Bombyx mori: one gene and its partner. The protein of the gene in region 2 purifies or fractionates together with the protein of the main gene of each other region. This does not show direct contact. Links are inferred from orthologs where the notes say so. Each region holds a gene or a part of one and is shown on either strand. Other genes may lie near its edges. The genes, in order: proton-coupled zinc antiporter SLC30A1 and protein-L-histidine N-pros-methyltransferase.

Region 1 (3,838 bases), on a different chromosome or scaffold from region 2:
AAAAATAAGTAAACAACTCTCAAACCTATATTCTCCTTTGCGTGCTGTAAAATTTTTAAATCTGTAAAATTAGTACGACAGTAAAACTTTGACAATCACTGGTGCTCTATATAATTTAGATATTGTCAACAAAATGTGGCCCAGTTTAATATATTATGTAATTAAAAAAAAACCGTAATTACTTGCAGTAGGAAGTGTCATATGAGCAGTCAGGTGTCAATACTGTGTATGTGTTTATATACATATATATAATATTTTATTATTATTTTTCTCTTACTCTCAAAAAGAAATGCACATACCACAGGACTCTCTACATCAGTTTTTGACTGGTAGAGACCTTAAGTCCGTCACAGTCTTTTTGTTCATAAAGTTAAATAAATAAATACTACTGTTTTGTCTATCTCTACCGCAAAAATATCCTGTGATTTTTTTGTGAGATAGTATAGTTGATACTCAAGAGCTTATAGCATCGCAGAAGAGAAGAGGTCGCAAGATAGAGAATTCTTTATATGCGGTTGGTATGTTCCAGCATGATATCATGGGATTTTCGACCTCACTTCGAATGGTGGCTTGCGGAAATATTCGCTTTCTGTGTGCTTAGTGCGAGCTTTTGAACGTTCTCGATAGCGTAAAAGTTAGCTGTATGGAATGGGATCGTTTACCTACGTTTGCCGTTAGGGGCGCTGTTTCAACTGCATACAAAATTGGGTTAACTCTTACGCTATCGAGAACGTTAAAAAACTCGCAATAAGCACACAGATATTTGGATTTTATCTATGTATGCACTACTAGGTAGACCGCTCGTTGAGTTATCGATGCCAGTCAAAAACCAAACGTTGAATCCATTTTAATTGCTCGCTTATCTATTAATAAATCTGTCAATGTTAATCACATTCCAACACGTGATTGGTGGTCACCGATTCATTATCAATCGATACGTATTTAGATTAGTACTTAATTCTTAGTTGCACAATGCAAAGATAATTTTGTATGGGTGCATTCAGAACTGAATAAAATCAATGAAGATCAGATTTCGTAACGACCTACTTTAGGTGATATTTTAAATAATATGCGTATTGCTGTGTCAATTGTTGGCCAAAAATCACGTATTGATTTTGCAATTTAAAATGAAACTATGAATCACACGTGACCATTTTTGTTTAAGGATATTCATGTTAATTTGATTCGTGCTCTATTTTTTTTGTATAAAATTATTTTACGGTTAACTGTAAAGCCTACTCATTTTCGAAAGTATATGTGTAAACAGAAATATTTATCTATACTTCTATACTAATATTATAAAGAGGAAAGATTTGTTTGTTTGTTTGTATTGAATAGGCTCCGAAACTACTGAACCGATTTGAAAAATCCTTTCACTGTTTGGAAGCTACACTATTCCCGAGTGACATAGGCTTTAATATTCTTTGAAAAAATTAGGGATCCTTACTAAAACTCCAATAATGTAACCCATGGTGTAAAAAAAATACCTAAAATATTCTTTACATCGCGTACCTTGCGAAAACTGCGAGACAAGAACAAATAGACAATAAGCCTATCATGAAATTGTTTAACAAGAATACAGACTCCGGAGTTGCATGCATGCCTCGCGGATACTGTAGTTAAAGTCACTAAACCTATGAGGCAAAGACATAAAGGGGATGGCCCATTTTCGGCCCAAAGCGGACAATAGATTATAGAAAAAATACTTAGTGCATTAATTTTGTCATAAATAAATATGCATTTAATTTCTTGCAAATAAGCGCCACTACAGTTTACAATAAGTAGTTTAAAAAAAGTAACTCTATTGAAAAAACAAGGATTTTTATTTTTGCGGGAAAAATATTGCCAGCTTCAAATCCTTTTACGTATGAAGTAAATATTTTGAGTATATAAATAAAACATATAAATAAATCATTTTAAGTATTATCATTAATCAAACGATTTTAATGGATTTTATGCACATAAAATAACATCGAAGACATACCCATTGGACTTTAACTTGTAACTATACTTGAGACCTTAGAACTTATATCTCAAGGTGGGTGGCGCATTTACGTTGTAGATGTATGTGGGCTCGAGTAACCACTTAGCAACACCAGGGTGGCTGTGAGCTCGCCCACCCATCTAAGCAATAAAAAAAACTTTACTAGTATTGTTATTTAAATATGTACAACTAAAACAAAAACATAAAAAATAATGTGTACTCGTAAAAAAAAGATTAAGATATAAATCAATTATCGGTTATTTAAAAAAATAATCGATATATGAATTTCATGTAATTATTTTTCTTTATACTGACAACACTGAATTTAATCTGACTGACTGACACTTCGCTTGCTGCTTGTGGTGTTGTGCTTGCGTACAAAATGGATTTGTTTTGATTTTTCTTCGATTTATTTTACTTTTATCAATAACGTTTCATACTACGACTAAAAAACATTGTGTGAATTGTGGTTTTACCCTGACCGAGATTTAAAACCGTGTATATGCTCTCCTTTGCTATTTTTAGATGATACTAATTGTGTATGAAGATGAAGAAAATATAGATATTTAAAGAATTAAGTGTGTTTTTATACCCTATTGGATAAAAATAAATTAGGAACATCTTAAACATTAAGAAAAGAAAAGTTCTTGAAGTATCTCACAATCCGACACTTATTTATATAGAAAATTAACCTCAAAACGAGTTTTTATTTTTATTATATTTTTTATAATAGTGGCGTCAATTTCAATATATTTTTTAGATATCCAATACATTTAAGAATTTGAATCAGTACATTTTTATAGTAATATTTGATGTCCATCTTGGGCCTAGCACACTATGGAGAGTGGGCAATCCCCTTTTCTGTTGATAATGCGAGCATCAAATTAGTGTGTACATTTACCTATAAATTGTCACTTGAATAAACGCACCACTTAGTTATCATAAGATCATAAGGTCTTTGAACGTTTCGGAAAGCATCGCCTTAGCCCTGGCATAGCTGATGTCCACGAGCGCCGCTGACTGCTTTTTTTCTTATTGCTTAGATGGGTGGACGAGCTCACAGGCCACCTGGTGTTAAGTGGTTACTGGAGCCCATAGACATCAACGTAAATGCCGCCGCCCACCTTGAGATATCAGTTCTAAGACCTCAGTATAGTCACAACGGCTGCCCCACCCTTCAAACCGAAACGCATTACTGCTTTACGGCAGAAATAGGCAGGGCGGTGGTACCTACCCGTGCGGACTCACAAGAGGTCCTACCATCAGTAAAACTTACCATCAGATGGGCTGTTTGCTTGTGTGCCTACAAATAACCATAAATATTTCGTTTCCTATAGATGTCACCAAAGAAATGGTCAAAGAACACTTTCGGCTGGGCTCGTGCTGAAGTTTTGGGCGCTCTCGTGAACGCAGTATTCTTGGTGGCTCTTTGCTTCAGTATTACAGTTGAGGCCGTTAAGAGGTTTATAGAGTTCGAAGTCATACATAACCCGAAACTCCTTGTCGCTGTCGGCAGTCTAGGTCTACTGTTGAACATTATAGGACTTTTTCTGTTTCACGGTAAGTAGCCAAACTCTATTTAAGTTTATGTATCTTCGATTAATTTTCTTTTTTGTCTCCACTTTATCCCACTAGGTGGGGTCGGCACATCGAATTTTTCTATTCCATTCTCTTCTATCAGCCGTCATCTCAACACTCACTCTTTCTCATATCGTCATTCACACACTCCATCCATGTCTTCTTCGGTCAACCTTGCACTGCCATTTCCATACATCTCCTAGTGACATGCATCTTCTCTCTACGTATCACATGTCCATACCACGCTAATCGTTCGCTCTTTAATTTATCAATCAC
Region 2 (3,838 bases):
AATCTTCAGACTTTCATGTTCCTGTTTCATCCATTTTTCTGAGTACAGCATTTCGGTCTGCAGAAGGTACGTACATACGTCCAAGCGATCTGCATCCCGGCTGATCCTATTTTAATGGAGCGCCCGGCAAACAACCTCCGAGCCGCTTACTGGAAAATCCATTGGGATTCTATGCGCCACTTAGCTCGCCTACTATACCGTGCTTGGTTTCACATAATCTATATCTATACTAATATATAAATCTACAGTGGTTTTTACGGATGTACCGTTATAACTACTGAACCATGCATCCGATTGACTTGAAACTCGGTATCCATGTAGAAAATACATGTACTTAATGTATAGGCTAAAATATTTATATGGGTGTTGGACTCCCTACTCCAGTTGCGGGGGTGTTAATGATGAGAATCTTTGTGGGGGTGAGAAATAATAATGTTAATTTAAAATGCCCAGCGAAGCGGACGTGTACCTACAGCTAGTACATTACAAAATTACAATTTTTTTATCTTTTTTTTGAGCCACATTAAATTAAACTAAAATTAAAATACACATATAAATAGTACAATCTTTTGATGGTATTGACCGAGCGGACGGCTAGCCGCAGGGCAGAGTAAATGTGAATGTCTTAAGACGTTTGGTATTGCACCATTTATCTTGCACATTTAAATGGGAATTAATCTGGCATTGTGCAGCTTGAATGTATTCAACTTAAGTATTTCGCTTCATATTGACAATATGCTTACACAGAGGCGTTTGATTCATTAGCTCGAGGCAAACGACCCGAGGATAAAGAACCTTCGTCCTTTCGCTCCTTCGATGGATGCACCCCGACTGACCCGCGTTAACGAGATAACAGAACATAATGAACGTATTGAAGAACTGAACGAACTGAAAAAGGGCAAAGATTTATCGAAACACAACAAAATTGTATCCTAATTCCGATTCTAATGCGTCATTTCAACTACGGAAGAACGGTAACCTACATAGTCTGTAAAATAAATAAAAATTGACGTGACCTCGATAAGTCGCCGATTGAATAAATCATTGTCGATTTGTCTTTCCCTAACAGGTAGATTTTTTTAAGCGGGGACATAGTTATTCATGCAAATATAACTTACACGAGCAGAAAATGAATCTTAAACATGAGTCTCATAAATAATCGGGCCGAGTGCTTCTTATCTACATAATAGCAAAACAACAAGTGATGTGTAGTCTATAGACTATATTATCACGACTAACACTACACAGTTATGTCTCAATAGTTAATGCGGTTTTAAAAATGTTTAATTTATATTTTAGATACGATATTAATGATTAGTTCACGTAAATGGTGTGACAAGCTCGCGGGTCGTGATGTTTAAGATGTTAACGTGTCCCAAAAACATCGCAACTTGAATGACACCGCTTAAATTTAGGCATGATATTTCGGTGTCAATTTCATTGAAATAATGTCTATCCTTCAAACTAGAACGCTTGACTGCTTCCCGGCCGTAATCCCTAATCGAAACATAAGATAAATAATATAAAATTTGCGAAAGAACTAAACTACATACACATATACTCTTACAATATAGTACACAATGAGACGATCATTAGCCCTTTTTTTCTTTATTTAATTATGTAGAACCGTAAATATTGAGCAACGAACGGACAGTAAATAGACGTCAGAGACGATTCTTTAATCATGAATGGTTTCAGAATTCAAAATTTTCCACAATTTGTATTCCGTCTGGAGAATTCGCTTCGACGAATCCCGTGGTTCCGATGCAGGCTATTTTAAATGTAAAGAAGGCGCATTGCATAATCACCAACGTGATTCGCTATCAGTATTCGGTACTAAATATTTATTTTCCTTCATTTTTTACGATACTTTTTTGCGGTACGTCGTAAAATGTTCTAGATATTGATGGTTTTATATTTTATTATACAATGGGGTTGGGTCCAAATCGTATGGTTGTTTATACACTACTCTTTATAACATTTACAAACTTTGACATCATCAATTTATCTTTAAATACTTCTGGACCAAGAAGAATGTATAATAAAAGTATTTACGTAACGAATGTATGTTCTAAAATAATAAATGCATTATCGCTACATATTTATTACAATTATTTGTTTTATTATACGGCAAAGTCAAAGAAAGGAATAAAACACGTTCCTAAATAAAAAATTAATGTTTTTTTATTGTTGAGGAATACGAGCTATGGATTGGTTCAACTCACACTCCGAAACATCCCAAAGTTTTTGTACGTCCTAAGGTAATACAAAGACAGATCTGGCATTAATTAAGTTGGCCTGATGACTCGCCGCGCTCCCGGTCTCTCGCCGCGCCGTCATTACATGTAAAGGCGAGGATTTTTTTTAATTCGTCATTATTCTGTGGCGTAAAGAAATGTTAATTCGAGGCAGCGTGAAATTAACAGCGGCCGCAATGCCCTTTGTTAGGGCCGCGGCGGCCGAGTTAAACACACAACGGATGACGATCTACAAGCTCCTCTCGTGCTATCTTATTTGCACTCGATTACATTTTTCTGTCTTTCGTTAAGATTGGCCCTGAGATTTGTTAAACATCAATTTGCTTAATGCACCTTAGCCGTAATGACCATTCTCATTTGTAATTTGTCTTACCTATCATCATGAAACATTATTTAGAATATAATTGAAGCCAGTTCTCGATTCGATTTTTAAAACAATTAAATTCTCATTGTTCAGGAATAAAGTTAAATTATTTATTACAGTGGTACCGAGTGAATCGAGATCGGCTAAGTCCAGAGCTGCAGCAAAAATTCGTCCAGCTTCACCCTGATGAAGAGACGAAACAATTTCTCTCTGCCTCCATCGAGAAGTCGTCTTGGGTCTGGACGCAGATCTGGTATCTTCTAGCCAAAGCTGTTTTGAAACGTTTCTGGTCGATAACCGACATCAATGGGTAATTTTTTGGAACTTAATTTTTTCCTAATCTTAAAACTACACAGTTTAATTTAATCGGAATTCTTATTGAATATCGATGTCCTAATCGGTTATAGTCGCTCGTGGGCATCAGCAATGACAAATGCATGCATGCGTCTGCCTCATGTTTCAAACAATGTCCAGTGATCGTTTGATCAAAATATATAACTATATCATGCTGACTAGTATAAACGCTGTCAAAAACCGAGCTTCAAAAAACGCGATAAATATAATCTACGCATAAACTGTTTTGTTAAAGTTTGGTAAAATATTGAAAAAGGCCAGGACATGAGCTCAAAGCATTCCTCGTAGAAGAAGAGACCTCTTTCCGTAGACTCGGAGGTTCCATATAATGCAAGTTCTCTATTACGTACGTCGCATCAAATACAAGCAGCAGATCCATACTTTTTAATTTAAAAGTAATGAATCATATCTTTCACAAACGATGAATTGCCATTTGAATGACGACAATGGTCCATTATTAAGTGCGTCCAGATTCGTCCAATTACGCCAATTACAATCTCCCGGTAGCTGTATGTACTTAGATACTAACGCATGTATTATTTCCTCATCCATTGTGTTGTATCTGCACAAATTAACTAATTCGTGTCGTTCACGCGTGGCTGGGAGTTTATCGATGTTTCAAAATATCGATAAAAACAATCTATTGTAATAGAAATATGACATGGTGAAACTGGAAAGGCCTCCGGGCCACCAGTAAGTAATCTTTAAATCATAAAAAAAAATTTTTACATAGATGACATTAAATAAAATAATAATAAAAACGATGTTTATGAAAGTTAAAAATGTTTTTGATAGTGATGATTGATCTCTTTAAGCGCCCCAATGAAGTCAATAAAAATATACCAATTTACCAACAATAGCT

What was found.
Region 1: the proteins of protein-L-histidine N-pros-methyltransferase (region 2) and proton-coupled zinc antiporter SLC30A1 purify together in Homo sapiens (co-immunoprecipitation; 3 studies listed by BioGRID and IntAct, with this or other methods). This does not show direct contact. The link is inferred for Bombyx mori from reciprocal best matches to the Homo sapiens genes METTL9 and SLC30A1.

The regions. Positions count from the first base shown.
Region 1 is NC_085119.1:13,207,509-13,211,346, reverse strand, and holds part of proton-coupled zinc antiporter SLC30A1, read left to right. Parts: intron 1-3,321; coding exon 3,322-3,544; intron 3,545-3,838. UniProt on the Homo sapiens protein: Zinc ion:proton antiporter that could function at the plasma membrane mediating zinc efflux from cells against its electrochemical gradient protecting them from intracellular zinc accumulation and toxicity.
Region 2 is NC_085117.1:14,603,592-14,607,429, forward strand, and holds part of protein-L-histidine N-pros-methyltransferase, read left to right. Parts: intron 1-2,741; coding exon 2,742-2,932; intron 2,933-3,838. UniProt on the Homo sapiens protein: Protein-histidine N-methyltransferase that specifically catalyzes 1-methylhistidine (pros-methylhistidine) methylation of target proteins.